Notamacropus eugenii: one gene and its partners. The protein of the gene in region 3 interacts with the protein of the main gene of each other region in a biochemical or structural test. Links are inferred from orthologs where the notes say so. Each region holds a gene or a part of one and is shown on either strand. Other genes may lie near its edges. The genes, in order: MAPK1, SUMO1, CREBBP and RELA.

What was found.
Region 1: of the proteins of CREBBP (region 3) and MAPK1, one has a biochemical effect on the other in vitro, tested with the Homo sapiens proteins (2 studies listed by BioGRID). The link is inferred for Notamacropus eugenii from reciprocal best matches to the Homo sapiens genes CREBBP and MAPK1.
Region 2: the proteins of CREBBP (region 3) and SUMO1 form a complex in vitro, tested with the Homo sapiens proteins (2 studies listed by BioGRID, with this or other methods). The link is inferred for Notamacropus eugenii from reciprocal best matches to the Homo sapiens genes CREBBP and SUMO1.
Region 4: the proteins of CREBBP (region 3) and RELA form a complex in vitro, tested with the Homo sapiens proteins (9 studies listed by BioGRID and IntAct). The link is inferred for Notamacropus eugenii from reciprocal best matches to the Homo sapiens genes CREBBP and RELA.

The regions. Positions count from the first base shown.
Region 1 is NC_092875.1:8,407,021-8,414,202, forward strand, and holds the start of MAPK1 (mitogen-activated protein kinase 1), read right to left. Parts: upstream 3,011-7,182; 5' UTR 2,991-3,010; coding exon 2,329-2,990; intron 1-2,328. UniProt on the Homo sapiens protein: Serine/threonine kinase which acts as an essential component of the MAP kinase signal transduction pathway. MAPK1/ERK2 and MAPK3/ERK1 are the 2 MAPKs which play an important role in the MAPK/ERK cascade.
Region 2 is NC_092877.1:298,546,356-298,553,438, reverse strand, and holds the start of SUMO1 (small ubiquitin-related modifier 1), read left to right. Parts: upstream 1-4,076; 5' UTR 4,077-4,420; coding exon 4,421-4,432; intron 4,433-7,083. UniProt on the Homo sapiens protein: Ubiquitin-like protein that can be covalently attached to proteins as a monomer or a lysine-linked polymer.
Region 3 is NC_092872.1:58,235,429-58,242,318, forward strand, and holds the start of CREBBP (CREB-binding protein), read right to left. Parts: upstream 3,022-6,890; 5' UTR 2,907-3,021; coding exon 2,822-2,906; intron 1-2,821. UniProt on the Homo sapiens protein: Acetylates histones, giving a specific tag for transcriptional activation. Mediates acetylation of histone H3 at 'Lys-18' and 'Lys-27' (H3K18ac and H3K27ac, respectively).
Region 4 is NC_092873.1:18,442,430-18,449,306, reverse strand, and holds the start of RELA (transcription factor p65), read left to right. Parts: upstream 1-3,864; 5' UTR 3,865-4,009; coding exon 4,010-4,016; intron 4,017-4,175; coding exon 4,176-4,202; intron 4,203-4,310; coding exon 4,311-4,462; intron 4,463-5,864; coding exon 5,865-6,013; intron 6,014-6,229; coding exon 6,230-6,321; intron 6,322-6,877. UniProt on the Homo sapiens protein: NF-kappa-B is a pleiotropic transcription factor present in almost all cell types and is the endpoint of a series of signal transduction events that are initiated by a vast array of stimuli related to many biological processes such as inflammation, immunity, differentiation, cell growth, tumorigenesis and apoptosis.

The DNA of each region.
Region 1 (7,182 bases), on a different chromosome or scaffold from region 3:
CTTTCAGGTAGAAGGAGATGGGAACACAAGGAAGCCTGGGGGCTGGGCAGCTGGATCCTGGTTCTTTATTATCAACATATGGGTTCAAGATTAAACTGTATATGGTACTACAGAAAACTACCAACAGTGGTGCTAAATACCAGAAAATTCCAAGAGCAAAGAGAAAAACTAGTTTTACTAGTAAAGCATAAATAAAACTTTTTAAAATTCCAGTAGCTGACAAGTCCTTCCACTCCAAAGAAGAACCTAAAGAATACTTTCAAATCTCAATATGCTTAGTGTTGACAATGAAGAATAAAGGACTGGATGTATCACAACATAACAAGTATGAATTTTCTATTCTAGAACTAGAGAAACCATGCTGAATGATGTATCGCTATCAGAGTCCATATTTCCCTTCCAAAAATAAAACAATCTCAGTCACTTCTAAGTACTGCTTATAACTTCTGCCTAATTACACAGGTCCAGTAGCAATCACATATATCATTAAGTGTTCTAAGTTTGACTGGTTCCCAAAACAAAATCATTCCTGTGGGGTCAGCTTTGTGCTGCCTCCACAGCAATGGAGGACAATTTTTTAAAAAAAAGAAGCAAAGAGAACATAGGTCACAACACAGTATATTGAGCTAATGTAGTTTCATGAAGGGACAGAAAAGACATTGTGGGAGAGGGCAGACAAAAGCAATCTTGAAAAATCGAGTAGCACCTAGAATAACCACCAGGAGTAGGCCTACTAGCTGGAAAGCAAAGAAACAGCAAAGGTGAGAGAGAAAAAGAGAGAGGGAGGAGGTGGAGGCAGAGTGAAGAGGAGGGAAAGAAGAGAGGGAAGGAGGGATGATGGATGGATGGAGAAGGGGGGAGGGAGAGAGAATGAGAGAGAGAGAAGGAGAGAGAGGGGGAGGGAGAGGGAGAGAGAGAGAGAACAAGAGAATCCATCTTGCTTGGTTCATTCTCAGATCAAGCAATAAAGGACCACCCTGGCTGGACTCTCACTCACTTTGGGGAATATATGGCAAGACAGAGCCATGATGCTCAGAAAAGTACTATTAAAAGTCTGAATTCTACTCCAGATAAAAAAAGACATTACTGGGCAATACATGGGTAAAAGACATGAACAGGGTAAGAAAACAAAAATAATTTCCTTTTGAATCACTGAAAAATACACTTTAATAAAAAGTTTGCCCTCTATCTTGACTCTTTGCTAGATGCTGCCATATGGTCTCCATATCTTATTAGGACATCAAACCAGCATGTCTAGGTTGACAACAAAAATTCAAGTGAATCCAAAGGAACCATCTAGGGGTTAGACCATCAGGGGCAGAAAAAAGTCTGAAACTGAACACCTGAACAATTTCCCATCCATACTTTCTGTGATTCTATTAATCATTAAACAGTTTTTTTTAAAGCACAATGCACAACTGTTCAAGTCTCAAACCAATAAAAGGCCACGAAACAATAAAGCTAAACACCATGTTCACTAGAGTCAGTTCAACAAACTTTAGACACCTACTGTATGCAACGAAATAATTTGGTGGGGATGTAAAGAGGAAAAAAGGGAAATTGTTCCCACTTTTAAGAAGCTTATGATTTGACAAGAGGAGGCCAATACTAGGTCACACAATAGAGCTTTTAAGCAGTCTGATGGCCTCAAATGAAGAAACCCATCTGACTGGCCAAAATGTAAGATCTGGGATCACAGCCCGTTGATTAAAATTGGGATATTGCCGGATGTAAATATGAAGAAAGAGGGAAGGCAACTCTACCTCTGATGCTAAAGGGAACAAGATGGCACCCTGGGAAGGGTGCCTTAGAACCAGGAAGAAAGGATCAGGAGCTCCCATGCCAACTCCGCCGGGTCTCAGATCTGGTCATTTGTTAACAAGTGGTGGTACCTGCCCTAAGCGCCCGCCAGGATCGCCAGGAAGAGCCAAGGTCCTCCTTTGGGGCCCTGGGGGCGATGTGCACGGGCTATGCTTCTGTCAGCGCCATAGCCTGGAATGCTGGGGGTCACCGGGGGCTCCACAGAATTGGGGAAAGTCCCCTGGGAGAGCTGGGCGCCCCTCCGGCCCCGGGTGACCTTCAGCACGCCCGGCCGGCCTCCGTGTGCGCATCTGTACAATGGATACTGTAGCGAGGCTGTCGCTGTTACTGTTACTGTTACTGTTACCGCCACTGTTACTGTTACTGTTACCGCCCGGGCCTGGCCCCCCAGCCCCGAGCAGAGGCCGGGCCGGCCCTGGAGCCGCAGCGCAGCCCGCCCCGGCCATCTTGGCCCCCCCACCCGGTAACCGGGCACGCACCAGGCGCGGCCGGCCGCCCCGCACTCACCACACCATGCCGTAGGCGCCCTCGCCGATGTAGGACAGGTTGGTGTAGCGCGGGCCCACGTCGAACACCTGCCCGCGGACCATCTCGGGCCCCGCGCCGCCGCCTCCCGCCGCCGCCGCCATGATGGCCGCCGCCGCCGCCGCCGCCCGCCGAGGGAGAAGGAGGAGGAAGAGAGGGCGAGCACGCGAGGAGGGGCGCCCACCGCCGAGCCGCCGGGAGCTGCCGCGGCCCCCCGAGCGCTGCCGCCTGCTGCCTCCGGCCGCCGCCCGCTGCTGCCGCCCCGACCGACTGACGGCCCGACTGCCCGACTGCCTGGGGGCCGAGGGCGGGCGCGCGGCGAGGGGCGGGGCCTGCGGCGAGCGCGCGCCGATGCGGAAGGACCGGCCGCCGGGAGGGGGAGGGGCGGCCGAGGCTTCGCGGTCACGTGCAAAGGGAGCGGAGGGGAGGGGTGCGCGCAGGCGCACACGCCGCAGGCCGGGGGAGGCGGGGAGGAGGAAGGAGAAGATGTAGACCGAGACGAGGAGAGGGGCCGCGGGGAGCTGCGGGGGCGTCCGAGGGGGAGCGAAAGGGAGGAGACCGAAAAGAGGACCTCCGTCCGGGGAGGCGGCCGCCGCACCCACGCACCCCCTGCCGACGGAAAGCGAGCGAACCGGAGTACGCATGCGCCGAGAGGCGCCGCCGCCCGCCCACACGCAACCGCGCGCCAGCGCCCCCCGCAGGCGCGCCCCGGCGCACGCCCGCCACATACCCGCCCTGCACCCCGCCCCAGACACGGGAAGCCGCGCATGCGCCGCACGGGCCTGCGGCCCGAATCCCAGCTCAGCGCCTCTCCCCGTGGCGTGGTGCGGCGCGGCGCCCCCCTGCCGGAGGACCCACTGTGTGCTGGGCTCTGCGCTCCGCTGCGGGGGTGCAGAGAATGCAGAAGCCGCCCCAGGGGAGCAGCCCCGGGGCACGCGGGGCAGATGTGCCCCGGCACGCGCGCCTCCGCCCGGGCCTGGCAGGCCCCGAGATGCCCGAGCATGCCCTCCCCTGGGAGGGGGGGGGGGGGTCCCACGCCCACGCCCCGAGCCTCCCGGTGCCCCCGCACCAGGCTCGGCACTCGCACGGTGGGAGCTGGATGGTCAGCGCTCACCCCGCTGCCCTCGAGCCCTCCTAGATCCCACGCGCACCCCCTCAACCCCTTCCCGAAAGTGCCCTGGCAGCGTAGTCAGAGGTGCAGGCTCAGCCCCCCGACACCCGCCCCGAGAATCGGAGAGGCAAGCAGCCTGGGAGCCCGCGCCCCTCAGGCGGGGAGCTCAGCGGTGTGCCCAGGTCACTCAGGCACCCCGTCCTTCCGGTGCCTACCCTTGCAAAGCAGGCTGCGTCCTGGCACGTAGGCCCTGCACTTTACAGCGGTCTCGTGGGATCCTGACAACAACCCTGCCACCTAGGTGCCGAAATTAGGCCCCTTTTACAGTTGAAGAAACTGAGGCAGGCAGAGGTTATGTGACTAGTCTGGTGTCCGCTGCTAGTGAGTGTCAGAGGCGGGGTTTGAACTCAGGACCAGCAGTCTATCCACTGCATAGCCTAGCTGCTTCATGGAAGGTTTGCAACGCACTTAGCAAGTTTTATCTCATTTGATCCTTACCACAATCTTGGAAGGAAGGTGCTGTTATTAGCCCTGTTTTTCAGATGAGAAAACTGAGGTTGAAAGAGGTGTCTTTGCCTGCAGTGTTAGTGGAAAGAACATTGGCTTTGGAGTCAGAGGACCTGGGATCAAATTACAATTCTGCCACTTGTGTAGCCAGTTAAATGTAGTATTTTTCACCTCTGTAGACTCATCTGTAAAAGAAAGGAGGGCAGAGTCCCTTCCAACTCCAAATGGAGGACCCTCTCATAGGGCAAAACACTTGGAGCTCATATACATGTAGAAAGGTATGCTCCTGTGCAGGCTCAAAGCCCCTACCCACCCTACTAGAGACGCCCTCAGATGCCCAGACCCCACACATACTTCCAAGGATCCCCTCTTCCTGTACATACCATCACAACCCACTCAGATCTCACACCCACTCGGCAATTACCACACACATTCAGCTACCCAGCTATCCCCTCCAGGCACATCTCCCCAAAGGCACCTCCACTCTTCCCACATCTATTCCTCCTACACACCCTTCGGAGGCACCCCCATCTTATAGGCACCCTCCACACACAGAGCTGCTCAACACATGCTGAGAAATGCCAGGCACCTTAATCCCCACTCCACGGCTTCTGCTGCAAGTTCGTCTGTCTCTCCGTCACACGTACCACACGCTTCGAAACCACAGCCAGCCAGATCTAAGCCAACACCATCCACCCTGGTTCAGCCTCTGTTTTTGCAAGCAGAGCGTGCAAACGGTACATCACAAAATCTAATCTGGTTGGACCCATTTTGCATATCTGATTTTGAGGCTGCTGTTAGTAAACTGAGCAGACACTGCTCAGAGAGTCAGAAACAGCATCATAGTTCTTGAAAACCTCCCTCTTTTTGTATCACCCGCCCTTAGCACAGGGCCTGGCACATGGTAGGTGCTTAATAAATGTGGCTTGATTGATGACTGATTGAAAAGAAGAACACAGTTCTGGAAAATAGAGACTGAAGTACTGGATATAGATGCCCATCAAAATTCCAGAATATATTCTCAAACATAATGTGTGAACCCCTGGAAAGAGGAGCCAGAACAAAGGATTCCAGACTACATAAAATTCCTTCTTTGCTAGTTTACTGGCTGCAAGGCTGTCAATACACAATGGATGGATTTCAGCAAGAAAACTTGTAAGACTCCAGGTGCCAAGATGTAGCACATACAAGTATACAGTTAGATGAATTCATGACTAATTGAAAAACTATTCAGACTAGTGATTACTGGATCAATGCTGTGCTCTCACTTCCAAAAACACAACTGCGATGAACTCAGAATGAACGAGATGGAACTAGATATGAAAAAACATTCAAGAAGCTGCAGGCTCCATATGAGTCAGCAATGGCTTGTGGCAGCCAAAGAAGGCTGATGCGTTCTCGGAGGCGTTCAGAGAGGCAAGGGAGGGAACAGATCTGCTCTCCTTTGCTGTGGGAGGCAGGATGGTCCAGGATGAAAGGAAGGTCAGAGGACCCGGATTCATATTCCACCTCTAATGCTCCTCACCTCTAGGACCTGTCCCTTCACCTCCCTGAGCCTAGGCCCTTCATCGGTGAAATGATCTGGAACCCTCAATCTAAGCTGCTTTCCTCATCTTCCTGTCTCATTCTCACAGTCAAGCTGGGTCCCCCAAGAGGGCAGTGACATCTGTCCTCCGGGTTCTAGCCTTACTGCTCTGGTGTGATTCCCAATATCATTGAACCGGCTGGCATTGCCTCAGCCTTAATTAACATTGGTTAGCTTTTACAAAAGGATATTAAGGCATAGAGAGGACCAGAGTACAACTAAGTCACACACAAACATGCACATGCACACGGAGCCTGGGATACACTATCCCCCAAGAACTATAGGATACTGGGCTTAGGGAGCATGTAGCCAAGCAACTCAGGGCCTGCATTCCGGGATTCTTTTTCTCCCTTTGAGGAGTACTCTTGCAGTTCGTAAGGGTGGGGACCCCCAAGGCAGCTAGGTGGTATGATGGGTAGAGCACCTGACCTGAAGTCAGTAAGTTGTTAAGCTATGTTTTAGTCAGGTCTGGCTCTTCATGACCCCATCTGGGGTTTTCTTGGCAAACACACTGGAGTGTTTTCTATTTCCTTCTTCAGGTCATTTTACAGATGAGGAAACTGAGGCAAATAGGGTGAAATGATTTGCCCAGGGTCACCCAACTAGGAAGTGTCTGAGGCCAGATTTGAACTCAGGAAGATGAGCCTTCCTGACTCCAATATACTACTCACTGCACTAACTAGCTGCCCCAGAGTCATTTAGACCTGAGTTCAAACCTGGCCTCAAATACTCCCTATCCTGGGTGACCCTGAGCAAATCACTTTACATCAGACCTCCCTGATTTCCTCATCTGTAAAATGGGGATAATAATAGCACCTCCCTCTCAGGATTGTTGTGCCAGTATCTGTAAAGTGCTTTGCAAACCTTAGAGGACATCTGACTGTTATGGATGAATATCAGAGTCCAGAGCTGAGGACTTTCTTTTTTTTTTGTGCTACTGAGGCATGTGTTACAGGGGCCTGCAACTGGTGCTCACGGGAAGGCTCATGAGGCTGTCCTCTGGTCAAGTGTGGGGCAGAGACAGAGCCTCTCTTCTCTCTCCCTCCTCCCCTGACTTCCTTCCTTCTCCCCTGTCTCCCTCCCTCCCTCTTCTATCTCCCTCTTTCACTCCTTTCTTCCATCCCTCTTTCCTCCCCTGCTTCCCTCCTTCTGAGGGAGAAGTCTCTCAGGAGCTTGACTGGAACTGTCCCAGCACAAGGCTGGCCAGCCAGTGGAAGGAAGCCCAGGCTCCAGCTGGCAGGCTGTTTGTATCTGAGCCCCACAGGGCAGGACCGATGCTCTCCAGCCAATTCCAATACATATCCTGAATACTATTCATCTCATTTCACTTCTTCCAGTGCTTGGCATTTCTGAATGATTAAAGGTTTCTCCCATGCCTAGTTTATACCTTTAATTGATTTATTCTGTACCATAATTAGAGGTGCTCTCAGCTGGTAAAGGTATGCTGGCTAAAGCATCTGGTTAGTTACACTGGTTGGGGCTGGGTGATTGATTGATTGATTGACTCAGTGGGGAAGTCTGGACTTCCCGGTGACCACCTCCCTAACCCTGTGATCAGCTGAGGGAACAGAGTGTGTTAACTCTAGCAGGTTGCCCAGTGACCTGTGCAGAGTAGGCTTCTCAGAAATGTTGA
Region 2 (7,083 bases), on a different chromosome or scaffold from region 3:
TTGCATAAAGAATGAAAATAAATGGGAGAAACCATGAGAAAAACATAACCTAACAAAAGAGAAAATAGTCTGCTTTATTTTACATTCTGACTCCATAGTTCTTTCTCTGGATATGGATGGCATTTTGCATCATGAGTCCTTTGGAAATGTTTTAGGTCCTTGCCTTGCTGTGGAGGACTAAGTCTATCAAAAACAGTCCTTTATCAAAAACAGTCCTCATACACTGTGGCTGTTACTGTGTATAATGTTCTCCTGGTTCTGCTCACTTTACTGAGCATCAGTTCACAAAAATCTATCCAGGTATTTCTGAAGTTTGTCCATTCATCATTTCTTTTTTAAAAATTTAATTAATTTATTTGTTTTCAGTTTTCAACAATCACTTCCATAAGTCTTAAATTTTCTCCCCTTCCCTCTCCCCCTCCTCCCTGAGACGGCATGCAGTCTTATATGGGTTCTACACAAACATTCTTATTAAACACTTTTCACATTAGTTATGTTGCACAGAAGAATTAAAACAAATGGGAGAAACCATGAAAAACAAAACATAACACAAGAGAAAAGAGGCTCCTTCATTCTGTATTCTGATTCCATAGTTTTTTCTCTGGCTGTGGATGGCATTTTTGCCTCAGGAGTCTTTTGAGGATGTTTTAGGTCCTTGCATTGTTGTTTAGGCTTAAGGGTTTAAGGGCTTAGTTTATCAGAAACAGTCTTGTCACACTGTGGCTGTTACTGTGTATAATGTTCTGGTTCTGCTCATTTCACTCAGCATCAGTTCATATAAGTCTTTCCAGGTTTTTCTGAAGCTCAACTGTTCTTCATTTTTTATAGTGCAATAGTATTCCATTATATTCATATACCACAACTAGTTCAGCCATTCCCCAATTGATGGGCATTCCCTCGATTTTCAGGCCACCACAAAAAGAGCTGCTATAAATATTTTTGTACATGTGGGACCTTTCCTCATTTTTATGATCTCGGGATACAGACCTAGAAGTGATATTGCTGGGTCAAATGGTATGTACATTTTTGTAGCCCTTTGGGCATAGTTCCAAATTGCTCTTCAGAGTGGTTGAATCAGTTCACAGCTCCACCAACAATGAATTCGTGTTCCAACTCTCCCACATCTTCTCCAACATTTATCATCTTCCTATTTTGTCATATTTAGCCAATCTGATAGGTGTGATGTGGTACCTCAGAGTTGTTTTGATTCTCATCTCTTTAATCAATAGGGATTTAGAGCACTTTTCATATGACTATAGATAGCTTTAACTTCTTCCTCTGAAAACTGCCTGTTCATATCCTTTGACCATTTATCAGTTAGGAAATCACTTGTATTCTTGTAATTTGACTCAGTTCTCTATATATTTTAGAATTAAGGCCTTTACCTCAGACACTAGTTGTAAAAATTCTTTCCTAGTTGTCTGCTTCCCTGCTAATTTTGGTTGCATTGGGTTTGCTTGTGCAAAAACTTTTCAATTTAATGTAATCACAATTATCCATTTTGCACTTCATAATGTTCTCAGTCTCTTGTCATAAATTTCTCCATTCTCCATAAATCTGACAAATCTACTATCCCTTGTGTTCCTAATTTGTTTATAGTATCAGCCTTTATACCTAGATCATGTACCCATTTGAACTTTATTCTTGTACACGGTGTCAGGCATTGGTCTATGCCCAGTTTCTGCCACACTATTTTCTAGTTTTTCCGGCAGTTTTTGTCAAACAGTGAATTCTTATCCCAGAAGCTGGTGTCCCTGGGTTTATGAAACAGTAGACTGTGATAGTTATTGACTACTGTGTTACGTGTGCCCACCTATTCCACTGATCTACCTTTCTATTTCTTAGCCAGTACTAAGTGGTTTTGATGATTGCTGCTTTATAATACAATTTAAGATCTGGTATGTCTAGGCCACCTTCCCTAGCATTTCTTCTCATTAATTCCCTTGATATTCTGGACCTTTTATTCTTCCAGATGGATTGATATTATTTTTTCTAGATCTATAAAATAGTTTTTTGGTAGTTTGATTGGTATGGCACTGAATAAGTAAATTAATTTAGGTAGAATTGTCATTTTTATTATATTAGCTCAGCTTACCCAGGAGCCACTGATGTTTTTCCGATTGTTTAGATCTGACTTTATTTGTGTGAAGTGTTTTGTAATTGTGTTCATACAGTCGCAGGGTTTGTTTTGGCTGGTAGACTCTCAAATAAAAATTAAAAAAAAAATTTTATTTTCAGTTCCAAATTTTCTCCTTCCCTGCTATCCCTCCCTCACCAATCGAGAAGGCAACAAATGTGATACCTATTATACATATGAAGTCATACAAAACATTTCTACTGTTAGTCATGTTGTGTGTGGAGGGGGAGCAAGAAAAATTAAGAGGAAAAATATGCTTTAATCTGCAATGAATCCATTAGTTCTGTCTCTGAAGGTGGATAGCAGTTTTCATCATGAGTCCTTTGGTATTGTCATAGATCATTGCACTGAGCAGAGTAGCTAACTTTTACACAATTGATTATTGCTTTTAATTAATATCGTTATTGTGTACAACGGTCTTCTGATTCTGCTTATTTCCTTTTGTATCAGTTGATATGTTTCCTCTTCATAAAATAGTGTCTGAGGCCAGATTTGAGATGAGTTGTCCTGACTCTATCCACTGGGCCACCCAGCTGCCCTAGGCATGTTCTGTCAAATTAGAAAAATTTCCAATCCAAATCTAGGACTAGATAATGCTTTTATCAGAAGACCTACCTCACTAAGGTCCCAGAATGATGTCTCCTAGGTGGTGGATTTCCTCTCTTTCTCCAGAAATTTAGATCATCCTTTAAGAACTGTGATCAGAATGAATAGAGGAAATACTCACAGAGAGATGGTCCTAGGTCCTAAAATAGGATACCTTCACATCTTAATGAATTACTCCTTCCAGGATTATTCTTATTTTGAAAAGAAACTCTTGAAATGTCTCAACCCAACCCTTCCCACTCTTCCGTTTGGAGGAAGGAAAGCAGGAATAGAAGGGAATAGTCTTGTTGCAGTCTGTTCTCATCAGATCTCTCTGGGGATAATGTTTAGTGTTGGAATCACAATTTAATGTCATCGATAAGCTGGAATGGATTGAGATGAGGGCAACCAGTATAGTCAAGGATCATGAATCAATGTCATTTCAGGAGAGGAGCCTCGGGAAAACTCGGGGGGCCCTAAGTACAAAGAAAGGCACCCCACGCACCCCCTGCAAAGGGCATAACCAGGAAGTAAATCTGGACTTGCCAGGAAAAACTCCTCATCGTTAGTGCTACCCAAAAGTGGAATGGGCCACCTTGCCTCTGACGGTCTTCACGCCGAGGCGCTGCCAGGTGCACGGGATGGACCAGATGGCCCTAACCCTCGACCTGCGTGACTCTGAAAGTAGTCTTCCTAACCCGTTCAAAGCTGCTCCTCGGAGGCTCACAGGTGGGGCCGGGGCCTTCTTAGAGAGAAGGAAGGAGCCCCGGCTGGAGACCTGGAGCTCAGAGGCGTTCAAGGTCATCCGGTCCAGGCCTTTCCTTTCATGAAACAAGGAAACTGAGTCCCAGGAAAGGCACGCATGCCTTCCCCAGGCCAGCAACCCCTGCATTTGAACCCGGGGCTCTCGGCCAGCCGAGCGAGCTGGGCTCTGGGCTCCGATCCCAGCACCGGGCGCCATCTCCAGACGTGGTGCCTTTTCCCCGCCAGTGTCCCGTGCCAGCCTTTGCGGATGGCGCTCGAGGCCGGCCTAGCGCCCGGTCTCCGAGCTCCCCTCCGCTCTGCCCCGTACAGCGCGTCTGTGTGTCTCGTTTGCACACGGCGTTAGGCTGAGCGCGCCGAGGGGCGAGGCTGCCTGCGCCGCCTTTGTACACCCTCTCCACTCCCAGCGCCACGCCTGGCGCGTAGCAGGCCCCGGGACGTGCCCGCAGACGGGCCCCCTCGGACGAGCCCCTGCGCTTCTCTGGGCCTCGGCTTCCCCACGTGTAACGGAAGGGAGAGGCGCGGAGCTAGGTCTACAGTCCCACAATGCGGATCTCATCACCCTGCCCCAACGGGCGGCGGGCCGTGGCCTCTCGGGTCAGGGCTCGATGCAGCCGTCCGGCCCGAGCCGCAGGCAAGGACCCGGGCCGCGGCGATCGGGCCCAGCGTGACCTCACCCGGGCCACCCCGCGGGGTCGGTTCGATACACTCCCCCCACACCAAGCCCCTCTTCCCGCTTCTCCCGCCGCCCCCTCTAACTCTTCGCTCCTTTTCTGGGCGGGGAACGGAAGTGACGTCAGGCGCATCGGAAGTCTCTGCCGCCGCGGTGTTGTGCTGTGGGGAAGAGAGGGACAGCTTTAGAAACCCGGGAGAGTGATTCTCGCCCTTCCGAGGCCGGTATCGCGCCGAAACCCCCGGAGAGAAGCAGCCGTCGCCATGTCTGACCAGGTAGGAAGCTTAGGGCAGCGGCTTGACGGGCAGTCGGACGCGGGGCCTGCGATCTCGCGGCCCCTCCGGGCCCGCGGCCGGACCGGGAATGGGGGCGGGGAGGAGAGGGCACAGGAGACAGGGGAGGGGGCGGCGGGCGCGGGGCCGGCGGCCAGCCAGGGTCGGCGTCTGGCACCCGAACGTCCGGGGCCCGGCCTCGCGAAGCCGGAGCCTCCTCGCCCCCTGCGAGAAGTCCGTGCACTTCCCCGTGACCCGGGGCGCCCGAGGCACGTCGGGTCGCCGGCCCCGCGGACCGGGTGTCAGCCAGCCCCGGAGCCGTGCCCATCGCCCTGGCTCAGGCCCCCGGGGAGCGTCCGGGCCCCGCAGAACCCAATCGCGCCTGACGGCGGCCGCGGGCGCCTAGGCCCCGGTTATATAACGGGAGAGGGAGCTCGCCGCGGCGGCCGGCAGGGCCTCGGGGGGTCGGGGGGGGCGGCCTGAGCGCGGATTCCCCTTCGGATGCCGGGGACGCGGCGGCGGCGGGGGCTGCCAGGTCGCCCGGAGCCCGGCAGCGCCGGCTGCAGCCTGGCGCCTGGGCCCGCGACAGGGCCGGGCCCCCGCGTCCGCGCCGAGCTCGGGCTTTTTCTCTCCGGATCCTTTTTCCGGTGGATGGGGTGGATGGGGTGGATGGGGGTGGCGGCGGCTCCCCTTGTTCCGTGAACTTTTCCTGTTTGTACTTCGGAGTGGTTCGGCGTTTCCGCGGACTGGGAGCCCCGGCTCGCCCCCCGCAGCCCTTTCCTAGGCATGGGCCTAGCGATGACTGCTGTTTGCGGCCGCCCCGGAGTAAAACAAAAGGACCGGACCCGAGGAGCTTCCCGCGGCTTTCCCCAGCTCCCACAGTCAGGATGCCCGGGCCAGTGTGTGTGGGCTCGGGGTCCGAGCGGAATCTTTGCGGGGGAGCCTTGCCACCCTTGCCTTGTGTTTGGGGCTGGTTTACAGTGCACTTGGTGAGGTCCGGAGTACTCGATTGATTAATGTCAAATGGAGAAATCGAGAGTCAGGTTGCTTGGATGAAAGAAAACCCTAAGATTTTTCTTTCATTTCAAAACACTGCGGCAGGGTTGGAATTTTAAATTTGGCAAACTTATCCACGTGTCTGTTTATTTGTCAGTTCTGTGCAGCATTGCTTGAGGGGAAATCCATCGGATTTTAGGAAATCGAGACATTTGGAAACATTTTTGTTATAAAAAGCAAGCCGCTATTTAGGTTAGCTCTGGGTGGTACTCAGCACTTTAATAGGCATCTGAATACCATTATAACGTATCTCATTAAATTGTTTATTCAGTTACTAGTTAGAGAATATATGTAAAATATGTTAGCAGTCTTTTGTTTGACATTTAAACATGGGAAATGTGTCAAATTTCTTATGTAGAAGTATTTTTGGGGGATGAATGAAGGAAGCAGACAAGCATTTATTAAGCACCTGCTATGTGCCAGGGGATTTACAAGATTTATGATACTCACAACAACCCTGGGAGGTAAATGCCGTCGTTATCTCTCATTTTACCGTGGAGGAAACTGAACTAAGGCAGACAGGTTAAGTCTCTTGGCCAGGATTACCGAGCTGATAAAAAGTCCTAAGGCCAGTTTCAGTTCAGGTTTTCTGGTTCTAGGTGCAGTGCTTTGTGTGCTGCGACACCTTGCAGCCTCAGAATAGAAAAGAATTGAGAAAATAAAAATTACCGTATCTTATCCAGAATAAAGTAGGCAAGTGTTATGAAATATAGGTAATTCCTTAGAAGCTAGGAGGTAAATTAGTAGTTTGAGATTAGAAATTTGAATTGTCTTCATCAGATAACATTTATTAAAAGACGAAAGATCTGATTTTAAAAAAGTTGAAATACCCTCAGGATTTAAAATCAAGAGCAGGAGCCCTAAAGTTTTCTAGTACAGTACCATTCAGTTTGTAGAATATCGTGCACAGTATCTGTTCAGAAATTCTACATTAAGTCCTGTTGGAAAGGCATATTTTTTAGGAACCTTTCAGTTATTATCAGTCATAATAGGAAAACTAAGGAATAGTTCTTACATTTCTACCTTTAAAATCAGAAAAGTTAAACTTTTTTTTAGTAAATAGTATTTTATTTTTTCCAAGTCCGTGTAAAGATAGTATTCAACATTCATTTTTATAAAGTTTTGAGTTCCAAATTTTTCTCCCTCCCTCTTTCTTTTCCTTTACCCCCTCCCCAAGACTGCAAGCAATCTGATATAGGTTATACATGTGCAGTCATGGCAACATTTCCATATTAGTCATGTTGTGAAAGAAGAAACAGAACAAAAAGGAAAAGCCACAAAAAACAGCAAAGTGAAAATGTGCTTCATTCTGCATTTAGACTCCATATTTCTTTCTCTGAATGTGGGTAGCATTTTCTGTCATGAGTCTTTTGGAATGTCTTGGATCTATTTTATGTTACTGAGAAGAGCTAAGTCAATCATAGTTGATCATCACATGGTATTACTGTTACTGTGTACAATGTCCTGGTTCTGATCACTTCACTCAGCATCAATTCATGTAAGATTTTCCAGGTTTTTCTGAAATCTGCCTGCTCATCATTTCTTGTAACACAATAGTATTCCATTATATTCACATACCACAACTCATTCAGCCATTG
Region 3 (6,890 bases):
CACTTTTCTCCCAAATCCAAACTTTCAATCTCTGAAACTACACATGAAGCTTATTAAACACTCCTAACTCCAAGTTAGTTCCAATTTCTCCCTGGGACTTCTACCAGATGCTTTCTCCAATTGTAAGGATAGTGATTTTCTCCAATTCCATATTCTCTAGAAATTACTTCACTTCCCTATCTCAGAAAACACATTCATCCTTTTGCTGGTGTATTTCATGTATTAAACAGTTGTTTATCTGTTTAATATATATCCCTAACATCTTTATCCATATCATTATGAACTGTCTCAAATTATTAGCTACTGAACAGCAAGGCTGTTTAAGTTACTTTATAATAATACCTTACAAAGGACCCCATACAAATATTAATGATGTTGACTAAGGTTTAAAGTAAGGATGAGAATGACGTTTGTCTGTGGAGTTAAATTTGGGTTATCTGCATTACCTAGTAATATAATTATTTATTAAGAGTTTTGATTTTTCGTTTTTCATCCTCAGAAACCAGAAAATCTCCCTCAATTGTTCCTAGAGTTGGGCATAAAAAGAAAGAAAAATTGACAAAAGTGAAAACCTTTTCCTAAGGAACTTTGCTGGGATTAGCAGTATGTAGCGGGAAATAGTTGGGGTGTCTATTTCTGAAAAACTCTTTATGGCAGCTGTATAACTAGTTTATGTCCCTTTATATAACAAAAGTCTAAAACAAACTAAAGTACTACTACTACTACCAAAGCAAAAATCTGCTATTAAGGTTACTCAGTTTGAGAGCACAAATTTCTAAAGTTGAGGTCCTTTGTTTTCTACTTAAAGAATTCATATTCATATGCCAAAATTAAAAGGAAAAGGGGTAAAGATTCTATCTTAAGAAAGTTCATCAAACAATTTCAAAGTCACCTACACTGTGCTTTGCTGAAAAGAAATGATTAAATTATGGTTTTCATATTTCTTAGGAAAAAACACAAAAAAAATTAAGATTTAGGATCAAAAATAAACTCCAAGTTAATCAACTAAAAATTTGTTAAATTTTTACTAGTGCCATTTCTCCCATTGGTTTATGTTTTTCATTTAACCGTTCAAGAACCTGTACAAAAGAGTATTTGTCATTTTTCAATACTAGTAATAGCAAATGTTACATGCCATTAAAAAAAACTGGCTGGAAGATGGGACACTATTTAAAAACAAAGCCAAGCTAAAGTTTCTGTTGCAAAGTATGCAGTTGTTTTCTTGTGTTACGTCAGATACAAGTGTTTTCACTGTTTCATTTCAGAGTGCACATCTACAGGCATTGCAGCAGCAACATAAGTCAATTTAGATTCATTCATTATAAAGTGATTTTCAGATGTTACCACCAGAGATGAAAAGGTTTCATTTGAGAAAGAATGTCCTTAAACTAGTAACTACAAGACGAATTTTTACAGTACAAAGAAAGATATTCAAAAAGAGGAAATATGAAGAGTTCTCAAAGCTGTAATAGGGAATAAGGTAATGAGCATTTAAAAAAAAACACAAAAATTAGTGACATGAAAAAAAAGTCTGCAGATGTTATTATCTAAAGAAGCCTTCAAAGAAGTTGTCCTAATGAATATAAGCATGGTTTTACAATAAGAGATATTCTGAATCACAATGAATTTTTCTATCAAATTCTAAGAATTTTTAAGTTTTAAAAGCAGATGACCACTTTGTTTTTAAAATAACCTAAATTAAGTTTAGTCAAAGGAGGAGCTTAATTTTTAATGGGACACTTGGCTTACATCCATTTAAAACTATCCCTGTTAGAAATATAAAATTAAATACATAGTAACTTTTATGAAATATTACTATTAAAGTTTCAGGTTTAGGAGAGTGGAAAGATTTGAGGGGATAGAGTTTCCAAAGTAACTTAATATTATATCCAGAAACAAGCTTGAATTTTGAAAGATTAAGTTATCATTATAGATTGCACCACATAAAAAGTTTCTGGATTTCAATACTTAAAAGTGTTATCACTATCAGTTAAAAACTATGATTGATGTTGTCGCTGTCTTGGAGATTCAGAAAATATTTCTAGTCACCAATCTTTCAGCCTGGATGTTTCTTTCCCTTACCAAGATGCAGTCCTGACACACACACACACACACACACACACGTTTCAACACTCCGCAGCAGATACACTCATCTGATATCACTACACAAAACAAACACACGGCACCTTACTTTTTTTTTTTCCTCCTTGGAAAAGTCATTTAGCATCGAGAGACTCGTGCAAGGTTGCACCCCAGCCTAGCAAATCAATCTGAATCGGAGTATCTTTTTCCACTGCCTTCCAATCGCACTTAACTCCCTTCCTTCAAACTTGGAAGAATTTATGTGATCAAGGTAAGGGGAGACGGAGGGTGAGGGAAGGTTTAGTGGGGAGATGGGAACAATTTTACGTGGAATCCCTTTGCAATGCCTAACTAGATAAAAAGAGGATCACTTCTCTTCGGAACCCACCACCTCGGCCATCGCTAACATCCCATTCATCTAGCTACGATCCCAAAGCCTTTCCAGGAAGAAAGCCCCCTCCCCCGTTCATCTGTGATCTGAAATGTCTACTCACCTTTGGAGTGGAAAGTGACAGGTAATTCAAAACAGGGTCCGCGGACACTAAGCCTACTAACCCTCACTGCGGGCTGGGCCTTCTCCCAGTTCCCCTGAAAGCTACGTTACATCTCGATCCTCTGAGGCTCCCAGGACACTTGGCTTCGATCAGATTCACTTCGGTCCCCTTCCCCGGCACTCCAACCCTTTATGTTTTCAACCATCTTCCTGCCCTCCCACCCCCAAAAGGCCCCCGGTCCTCACCTGTATTGTCACTGGCTGAGAACCCAGGCGAGTTGAGTTTGGCTCGTTTGGGGTTGGGCGGTCCGTCCAGCAAGTTCTCAGCCATTTTAGCCGGCTCTCGAAAACAGCCCCGCGGGTGGGGGTAGGAGCTGCGAAGGGTCCGGGGCAATCAGGAGACAATCCGGAGCGGGGGGTTGGGGAGGGTTCGGAGAGCTGCCCCGGCCGGGCCGGCACCGAGAGGGAGCGGGAGGGGGGGGGCTGTCCGAGCGTGTGTGAGTGAGTGTGAGATGGGGGGCCGGAGGGGGGGAGGGAGGCCAGTGAGGTGGGGGGCCGGCGGAGAAATCACAGCCACAGCAACAGCGCCCCGCAGCGCTCACCGCCCGCCCCCGGCCGCGGCCGCTGCCGCCGCTGCTGCTGCTGCTACCGGCCGCGGCTCCCTCATCCCCTCCCCGCCGCGGCGGCGGCGGCCCGGGACTCCCCCCCGCCCTCCCGAGCGCGACACTCCAAGGAGGGGGGGGCCGAGGCGGCCCAGCTGCCCCCCCGGGGCCCAGCTGGCAGCGACGGTGCCCGGCCGGGGCGGCTCAGTCAGTCCCGGGGAACATGGTGCCTCCCGCCCGCCTGCCTCCTCCTCCTCCTCCTCCTCCTCCTCTTCGTCCTCCTCCCTCCCCCCCTTCTCGCCCCACTTAATTAATTAATTCTCTCCCCGCCCGGTGGGAGGGGGGCTTCGGGGTTCGCTCCCCTACTCGGTTTGAGGAGCCGGAGCCGCCGCCGCCGCCGCCTTGAGGAAAAACAATGCGCGAAGCGGAGCCTCCGCCGCCGCCGCCGCCGCCGCCGCTGCTGCCCCCCCCACCCCCGTTCCGCCGCCGCCGCCGCCGCCGCGGCTCCGGGAAGCCGAGCCGAGAGCCGTGCGGGGCCGCCGGAGCTGGCGCCGAGGGCCGGGCGGAGCGGGCCGGGCGGGCGGAGTGGGGTGCGCGGGCGGTTGTGGGGCCCGGAACCGGCGGGGCCGAGTGGATCGCGCTCGAAGCCCCGATCGGGTCCGCGACAAGATGGCGGCTGTTGATTCCTCAATTAAAAAAAAAAAGAAAGTTTTTTTTCTTCTCTTTTCCAGAGCCTGAACGGGAGGGGGAGGGGGCGGGGCACGCTTATGCGTCACCACCACCGCCACCCCCCCCGCAGCGTCACCACGCACGGCCCCCGCCCCGCCCCCCTCCACCTGCACCCGGGAGCGGCCGGAAAGATACGAACGCGCCCAGGCGGAAAGGGCCGAGCGACCGGGCTGGAGTGCGTAGCGCTGCCGTGTTGTGGCGGACAGCGCCGCCCGTGGGCCGAAGGAGGGACGTGAAGGGCCGTGGGCGTTTGCGAGATCGCTTTTCCTCCGCTTTCGCTGTAGGTCCCTAAGTGGGACCCCAGGGGGGCGGCGGGCAGCCCTGGGCCGGTCTATGAAAGTGTTCATGCTCGCGCTGCGTGTGTGACCCGGGCCAAGCCTTGGTCACTACCGCGGCCGGCCCCGGGGGCCGCCCGGAACGCTTTCGCAACCTCCTCTCCCCGCCAGTTTTGCTGAGTTTGGTAGGGTTCGGGTTGTTTCTTTTCTTCGGTGGCGTGGACCAGGAAGGGCTGAGTCGTGACCTGCCCGTGGTCTGTGGGGACTTTTGTTCGGAGAAAGTTGTCAAGGGAGCGGAAAGGAAAAATACCCTTGGATTTTAGGATTGGGGAGTATAGGTGAATTGCAGGACAGGTAGCCGCAGCCTGTCTGGCTTTTCTGGCCATCTGCCGTGCAGACGGTTTTCTTATATCACACCTTCCTTCCATATCTTCCCAGGGAGCCAACTTTCCTCCAATCAGGGCTGTTCCCCAAACCCTCTAAGTTTGAAATTGCAGCATATTTCGCTTCCGAATATCTGGGGAGAGGGGCAGGGGAGGGGAGGTTGAGGAGGGGCTGGGGCCTAGTGTTTTATCCATGTTGGAAACTCTCACAAATCTCCAGCAAATGCAGATCTCATCTGTAACTTAAGGGTGCCTGCGGTACTCAGATAGTAAGTGACTTTCCAGAGTTACAGACAGTAACAGTAAATGTCACTGGTTGTACCTGAACCCAAGTTAAGCTCAAATTGGCTCTCAATCCACCACACTGGGCTCCCTCCCTATCCACTAGGCCTAATTTATGATAATAGAGGAGGGCCAAGTTTAGGTCAGTTGCTCTACCCTGTCAATGTTCTCTCCCAGCCTTGTGAGAAGAAGCCTCCCCTGCTTTTCTCCTGGATTTATGGCTCAAGTACATGATACTTTTCGCTCTCCAGGAGGCTGCTGCACAAGCAAAAGTTCAATTTAACGAACATTTGTTAAGTGATTACTATGTGCCAGGCACGGTGATGGTGCTGGGGATAGAAAGACAAGAGTAACACAGTTCTTATCCTCAAGGAATTTATAAATCCACTGGAGAGATACAACTTGTCCACAGAGAAGGATACATGAAATAGATACAAAGTGATGGGAAAGTGACATTAACAACTGGGGCAATCAGGAAAGGTCTTTTAAAGTTAGAAAGTAACACTTGAGTTTTGAAGGATACCAGGGTATCCAAGAGGCACACGTAAAGAAGAAGAGCTTTCCAGGTATGAAACGTAGCCTGCTCACAGACTGAGACAGAAGATGGGATATCTCATAGGAGGAACTAGCAAGTTGGCCAGTTGGCCTAGAAGTGAGGGTGCAGAGTCATGTGAAATCACCTTGGAAAGGTTGACTAGAGCCAGATGTGTAGCACTGAAATGCCAAACAAAGAAGTTTGTATTCTCTCTCCTAGAGGAAATAGGTTAGCCACTGGAGCTTCTTAAGCAAATCAAAGTTTTAGGAATATCAGTGAAGGCCTGAAATAGAGTAGTTATGGTAAACAGGAAAGAAAGAGATAAGAGATGGTGGAGGTATTTTATAAAGGAAAAATAAACAAGGCTTGGTAAATGTTTGGATATGGTAGGGTAAGGGGTAGTAAGAGAGAAGAAATCAGAGAAAAAACTAGGTAACTAGAAGGATGGTAATGCCATCAACAGAGAAACTGAGAGGAAAGGAGGAAGTTAAGCAATTCAGTTTTGGACATGTTGGGTTTAATATGTTTGTGGGAATCAGTGAGTCAGTCAACAAACTTTTACTAACTGCTTACTATGTACTAGGGTGTACCCAGGCTTGCAGGGTGGGAGATAGATCAGGAACCTCATCTTCTTTTCCTGGCTTCCTTCAAGTCCTAGGTAATCCTACCTTTGGAAGTGTTTCCCAATCCCTCTTTAGTTCCTCCTCTCTGTTGATTATTTCCTGTTTATCATGTGTATACCTGTTTGTACAAATTTGTTTGCTTGTTGTTTCCCCCTCATTAGACTGTGAGCACCTTGAGGGCCAGGATTGTCTTTTGCATTTCTTTGTACCCTCTGTGCTTAGCACTGTGCCTAGCACTTAGTTTGTAGGTGCTTAATCAATGCTTTATTCACTGACAAAGGAGACTAAGTAGGAGCAATCAAATATTGGAAGAGACTGATGATAGAGCAGGATCACAAAAACCTAGGGAGGAGAGTACAGGGAGAAGGAGAAAGTGGTTGACAGTATGAGGACTGAGAAAAAGCCACTGGATTTAGAAATAAATCCATGGTGGCTTTGGAAAGAACATTTTCCCTCAAGTGGTACACTATGATAGACCTATCAGATAAGTGATGAAATTTTACTTATTTGTCCTGGAAAGTGGGCCATCATGATATTTCTTGGCCATTTCCAAATCATACCACTGTGCTCATACCTGCCACCTCCACTTTCCAATTCTACCTCCCCTTCTTTGTTGTCTTACTAACCTCTTGGAATATAAGTTCTCCGAGGACAAGGTTTGTCTCACTTATATTTGCATAGCCAGTGTCTGACCGATAGTAAGGATAGTAAGTACTTGATAATTTTTTTTTCATTCATTCATTGAAATGGGTCAAGAAGTCAATAGAAGCTGAGAAAGAAGAGGTTTTGCAAAGTGCCTGGGACCAGTAAGTACTCAAAAATCATTTGTTGACTCATTGATTGATTCATGGAAAGAACATTCAAACCTAAGTATCACTTAGTGTCC
Region 4 (6,877 bases), on a different chromosome or scaffold from region 3:
GCATTGTGGGTCTGTCCTACTAATCTCTGCCCTCTGGTGTTGTGTCAGCTGCTATTTCTAACAAGCCTTAATCAGCCAGGACTGATGACTGATAAATTCTGCTAAGGGCTACAGTCACTCTGGACGTAGCTGCTGTCTCTAAAACCTACAATTACTTGACCCCTGAGACCTAAGAAAAGAAACTGTGTTCACTCTCCCCTATCAGGAATTCATCACCCTTGTAAAGACACTAGAATGTTTGTCTAGATAGCCTAGGCAGCTGCTATGGCATAGATGGCGTAGATGGCTACCACAAATGTTTTGATAGGACATCAGTAAGTAAATAAACATTTATGTGCCAGGCACTGATTGTGGCTAAGCACTGGGGATACAAAAAAGAGATGAAAGACAGTTCCTGATCTCAAGGAGCTCACAATTTAATATGGAAGATAACGTGCAAACACATACAAACAAGCTCTATACACAACTGCAGAAGGAAGGCACCAGAATTAAGGGGGGAGAAGGCTTCTGGTAAAAGGTGGGATTTTAGTTGGCACCTAAAAGAAGCCAGAAAACAGAGAGAGAGAACGTTCCAAGCATGGGAGGCAGCTAGAAGGAGTGACTGGATCCAAGAGATGGGGTACCGCTCTGGGAACCAATGTCACTGCAGAGAAGAGTACACATTGGGGAGTAAGGTGTAAGAAGGCTGGAAAGGGCTATGAAGGACTTTGAATACCAAATACAGCATTTTTGTTGGGGCAGCTAGGTGGTGCAGTGGATAGAACAGCAGTGCAGGAGTCAGGAGGACCTGAGTTCAAATCTCACCTCAGACACTTGACACTCACTAGCTGTGTGACCTTGGGCAAGTCCCTTAACCCCAATTGCCTCATCCTGGGTCATCTCCAATCATCCTGATGAATATCTGGTTATTGGATTCAGATGGCTCTGGAGGAAAAGTGAGGCTGGTGACCTGCACAGCCCTCCTTCATTCAAAACAAAGTCAAGTGCAAGTCATGTCATCATTTCTCTGATGGTATGGTCTTCTTTGGCAACGAAGGACCAACACACACACAGCATTTTGTATTTGATCCTCCTGGCAACAGAGAGCTACTGGAGTTTACTGAGTAGGGAGTGACATGGTGAGACTAGGTTTTAGGAAAATCCCTTTAGCAGTTGGAGTGGAGTGGAAAAAGATTAGAGGCAGGCAGACACCCTCTGCACCTCTCTGAGCAGCCATTGCAATAGTCCAGGTGTGAGGTGATGAGAGTCTGCCCCAGGAAGGTGGTGGCATCAGAGTGAAAAGGGTGTATTGGAGAGAGATTACAAAGGTAAAATTGGCATCATATTGGATATGGGTTGTGTGTGTGAAAAAGAATGAGGAATCCATGACTGGGGCTGGGAGCATGTTTTTGCCCTCTGCACTAACAAGGAAGGTGGTCACTGTGGTTGCTTGTCCTTCCCTCTCCAAGAGGACCATGGCATAGGGAAGGTGGGGTGGGGAGAGGAGGATGAGTTTAGTTTGGGCATATGTTGATTTAAAACCCTGTGGGATACCTAAGGTTGGAGCACGGGATATGGAGGAGGATCTCACAACAGAGACAGAGAACAAGTTGTCAAAGAAGTAGGAGGAGAAAGGGGTGGGGGTCCCAAGAACCTAGAGGTAAGAGAGGACCAAGGAGGAGAGAGTGATTATGGCTCCAGAGAGGTCAAGGAGAATGAGTGTGGAGCAGAGGCCACTGGATGTGGCCACTAAGGAGATAATTAGTAACTTAAGGGAGAAGTTTTTGTGGAATGATAAAGGCAAAAGCTGGATCGACTGTAAGGGGGTTGAGAGAGGAGGGAGGTAACTAGTGTAGATGGCCTTTCCCAGGAGAGTCAGTGGGGGCATCTGGTGTAGACAGGTTTTCCCAGGGGAGTCAGTGGAGGCGCCTAGTGTAGACAGCCTTTCCCAGGAGAGTCAGTGGGGGCATCTGGTGTAGACAGGTTTTCCCAGGGGAGTCAGTGGAGGTGCCTAGTGTAGACGGCCTTTCCCAGGGGAGACAGTGGAGGCGCCTGGTGTAGACGGCCTTTCCCAGGAGAGTCAGTGGGGGCATCTGGTGTAGACAGCCTTTCCCAGGGGAGTCAGTGGAGGCGCCTAGTGTAGACAGCCTTTCCCAGGGGAGTCAGTGGAGGCACCTAGTGTAGACGGCCTTTCCCAGGGGAGACAGTGGAGGCGCCTAGTGTAGACGGCCTTTCCCAGGAGAGTCAGTGGGGGCATCTAGTGTAGACAGCCTTTCCCAGGGGAGACAGTGGAGGCGCCTAGTGTAGACGGCCTTTCCCAGGAGAGTCAGTGGGAGCATCTAGTGTAGACAGCCTTTCCCAGGGGAGACAGTGGAGGCGCCTAGTGTAGACGGCCTTTCCCAGGAGAGTCAGTGGGGGCATCTGGTGTAGACAGCCTTTCCCAGGGGAGTCAGTGGAGGCGCCTAGTGTAGATGGCCTTTCCCAGGAGAGTCAGTGGGGGCATCTGGTGTAGACAGCCTGTCCCAGGGGAGTCAGTGGAGGCGCCTAGTGTAGATGGCCTTTCCCAGGAGAGTCAGTGGGGGCATCTAGTGTAGACAGCCTGTCCCAGGGGAGTCAGTGGAGGCGCCTAGTGTAGATGGCCTTTCCCAGGAGAGTCAGTGGGGGCATCTAGTGTAGACAGCCTGTCCCAGGGGAGTCAGTGGAGGCGCCTAGTGTAGACGGCCTTTCCCAGGAGAGTCAGTGGGGGCATCTAGTGTAGACAGGTTTTCCCAGGGGAGTCAGTGGAGGCGCCTAGTGTAGACGGCCTTTCCCAGGAGAGTCAGTGGGGGCATCTGGTGTAGACAGCCTTTCCCAGGGGAGACAGTGGAGGCGCCTAGTGTAGACGGCCTTTCCCAGGAGAGTCAGTGGTGGCATCTGGTGTAGACAGCCTTTCCCAGGGGAGACAGTGGAGGCGCCTAGTGTAGACGGCCTTTCCCAGGAGAGTCAGTGGTGGCATCTGGTGTAGACAGCCTTTCCCAGGGGAGTCAGTGGAGGCGCCTAGTGTAGACGGCCTTTCCCAGGAGAGTCAGTGGGGGCATCTGGTGTAGACAGGTTTTCCCAGGGGAGTCAGTGGAGGCGCCTAGTGTAGATGGCCTTTCCCAGGAGAGTCAGTGGGGGCATCTGGTGTAGACAGCCTTTCCCAGGGGAGACAGTGGAGGCGCCTAGTGTAGACGGCCTTTTCCAGGAGAGTCAGTGGTGGCATCTGGTGTAGACAGCCTTTCCCTGGGCTTTAGCCACAAAGGGCATTAGAGAAACAGGACAGTAGCTAGAAGCGAGCTGGCCAAGGTCTGATCGGAGAGGCGGGTGCCAGGCCTACACTGGCGGACGAGGGAGGGAGTTTCCTCATTGGCGCTCGGACATCGGACTCTCTCGCCGGCACTAGGGAGGGGCCTCGACCCTCTGCTCTGCTCGCGCCCCCCAAGGCGCCTCCCCCTCGTTCCACAGTACACAGTAGGTGCTTCATAAACTCGGGCTTCCCCTACACTCCGGCTCCGCCCACCCCTCCTCTCGCCCCTCCCGGAGCGTCCTGGGACCACGTGCTTCTGGAAGACGCGTGACGCAAGCACGCAGCGGCGTCTCACGCTCCGCCAATCAGGGCAGCTCCCTGTCCGCCCCGCCCACCCCGCCTTGGGTGGTGGCCAGGTCCTCGGCCGGAACGTTTGGGAAAGGCGATTTGGGGAGCTGAACGGAGACGCCAAACGGAGCGCGGAGGGGCCGGTCTGGGTCCGACGCCTCCCTGCCCTCGGGCCTAGCCCTGCTCGGCGGCCACCTCCCCGCACCTGCGCACTCGGGCCGCCCCGCCCCGCTAGCGGGAGCGCGCAGGGCGCGCGCGGCCCGGGAGGCCCTGGTGCGCAGGCGCGGCCCCGCATTCCGAGCAGTGACGCCGCGAGCGCGCGCGGCGCATTTCCGCCTCTGGCGAATGGCTCGGGCGTAGGGCGCGCGCCGCGGGGGCTCCAGCTGCGACCCCGGCCCCGCCCCCAGGACCCTGGCCATGGAGGGTGAGCCTGACCTCTGACCGGGGGAGGGGGAGGGCCGGGTGGGGCCCGGGCGGGCCGGCCGGAGGTCCGTGCGGCCGCCCCCCTGCCGGGGCGGGGCGTGGGGGGGAGGCGGAGGGCGGCGCCTGACTCGATTTCCCTCGCGCCCCCTCCCCTTTTCAGACCTGTTACCCATGATCTTCGCTTCCGGTAAGTGGGGGCGGGGCGGGGGGGGCCGGGAGGGGCGGGGGGAGGCCCGGGGTCCGGCGGCTGGGGGTCCTGAGCCCGCGGTGTGCGCGCCCCCCTCCGCCCCCCCAGATTCGCCCCCGGCCCGGGGCCCCTTCGTGGAGATCATCGAGCAGCCCAAGCAGCGGGGGATGCGCTTCCGCTACAAGTGCGAGGGCCGCTCGGCGGGCAGCATCCCCGGGGAGCGCAGCACGGACACCACCAAGACGCACCCCACCATCAAGGTGAGCCCCGGGGGCCGGGGGGCCGGGGGTGCTCAGAGCCCCCCACTGCAGGGGCTCGGGGCTCGGGGGCGTGCTCAGAGCCCCCCACTGCAGGGGGCTCGGGGCTCGGGGGTGTGCTCAGAGCCCCCCACTGCAGGGGGCTCGGGGCTCGGGGGTGTGCTCAGAGCCCCCCACTGCAGGGGCTCGGGGCTCGGGGGTGTGCTCAGAGCCCCCCACTGCAGGGGCTCGGGGCTCGGGGGTGTGCTCAGAGCCCCCCACTGCAGGGGCCGGGGGTGCTCAGAGCCCCCCACTGCAGGGGCTCGGGGCTCGGGGGTGTGCTCAGAGCCCCCCACTGCAGGGGGCTCGGGGCTCGGGGGCAGACCCCCCCCACTGCAGGGGGCTCGGGGCTCGGGGGTGTGCTCAGAGCCCCCCACTGCCAGGGGCTCGGGGGTGTGCTCAGAGCCCCCCACTGCAGGGGGCTCCAGGCTCGGGAGTGTGCTCAGAGCCCCCCACTGCAGGGGGCTCCAGGCTCGGGAGTGTGCTCAGAGCCCCCCACTGCAGGGGGCTCGGGGGTGTGCTCAGATCCCCCCACTGCAGGGGCTCGGGGCTCGGGGGGTGCTCAGAGCCCCCCACTGCAGGGGCTCGGGGCTCGGGGGGGTGCTCAGAGCCCCCCACTGCAGGGGGCTCCGGGCTCGGGGGTGTGCTCAGAACCCCCCACTGCAGGGGGCTCGGGGCTCAGGGGTGTGCTCAGAGCCCCCCACTGCAGGGGGCTCGGGGCTCGGGGGTGTGCTCAGAGCCCCCCACTGCAGGGGGCTCGGGGCTTGGGGGCAGACCCCCCCCACTGCAGGGGGCTCGGGGCTCGGGGGTGTGCTCAGATCCCCCCACTGCAGGGGGCTCCGGGCTCGGGGGGTGCTCAGAGCCCCCCACTGCAGGGGCTCGGGGCTGGGGGGGTGCTCAGAGCCCCCCACTGCAGGGGGCTCCGGGCTCGGGGGTGTGCTCAGAACCCCCCACTGCAGGGGGCTCGGGGCTCAGGGGTGTGCTCAGAGCCCCCCACTGCAGGGGGCTCGGGGCTCGGGGGCAGACCCCCCCCACTGCAGGGGGCTCGGGGCTCGGGGGTGTGCTCAGATCCCCCCACTGCAGGGGGCTCGGGGCTCGGGGGTGTGCTCAGAGCCCCCCACTGCAGGGGGCTCAGGGCTAGGGGATGTGCTCAGAGCCCCCCACTGCAGGGGGCTCGGGGCTCAGGGGTGTGCTCAGAACCCCCCACTGCAGGGGTGCCGGGACTGGGAGTGAGCACACCCTCCGCCTCCAGCAGAGGGCAGGAGGTGGCAGGCTCCCAGAGGGACAGAGGCCCTTTGATGGGTTTGGGACCCCTCACTGATCTTCTCCGAAGGTGGGAGTGGCTCAGCCTCCATTCCTTTCCCAGGTCATTGGCTACACAGGACCAGGAACTGTGCGAATCTCCCTGGTGACCAAGGAGCCCCCTCACCGACCTCACCCTCATGAGTTGGTGGGGAAGGATTGTCGAGATGGCTTCTATGAGGCTGAACTCTGCCCTGACCACTGCATCCATAGGTGAGGAGGCTCAGCAGGTGCGAGGGAGTCAGGGCAGGGCGAGGGCAGGGGTTCTCCTACGTGGGGAGGGGGAACCAGAAGGACCCCACAAGGTAGGGAGGACAGAGCAGTAGAAATGAGGCACCGAGCTTCGGGTGGGGCAGAGGATCAGAGAGGATGGCCAAGGGCTGGACTGGGCCTGGGGTGCCAGGCAGGCTGACAGGTGTGAGGTGTTAGCTTCCAGAACCTGGGGATTCAGTGTGTGAAGAAGCGAGATCTGGAGCAGGCCATTGCCCATCGAATGCAGACCAACAACAACCCCTTCAATGGTGAGAGGCTCCTAGGCCAGCATGACCAGGGCCCCCAGCAGCCCCACCCCACCCTGCCCATGCCTCCCTGCCTCACTCCCTGGCTTCTCCCTCTTGCTGGCCAGCTCTACACCAGTGCTTCAGGATCCTTTTCAAATGCTTTTTGTGCTGCTGCTTGTTTCGATGTCACTGTCATTTCCCTTTCTTCCTTCCTTTGTGTCCGCATCCCCCCACTCCTCTGTTGCTGGCCCCTCATTAGTTGCTCAGTTACTGTGGCCTTGGCTTGCTTCAGGCGATCTCTTGTTTTCTTGGCTTTGCTTGTTTCATTCTGCATCTGTTCACACAAATCTTCCCATTTTTCTCTGAATTTTTTTGTTTATTTCTTACTGTATAGTAATGTGTCATTTTTTTAACCCATATCTAATTGATGAGCCTCTACTCTGTGAAAGCTATAGAGCTGCTATGAATATTTTGGTTTTTGCACGACCTGTTGCCATTTCTATCTTTAGCTTTTTTGTGGAGTTTCAGTAATTAGATCATTGAGTCAAAGGCCACAGGCCATTAATCCCTTTTCTTG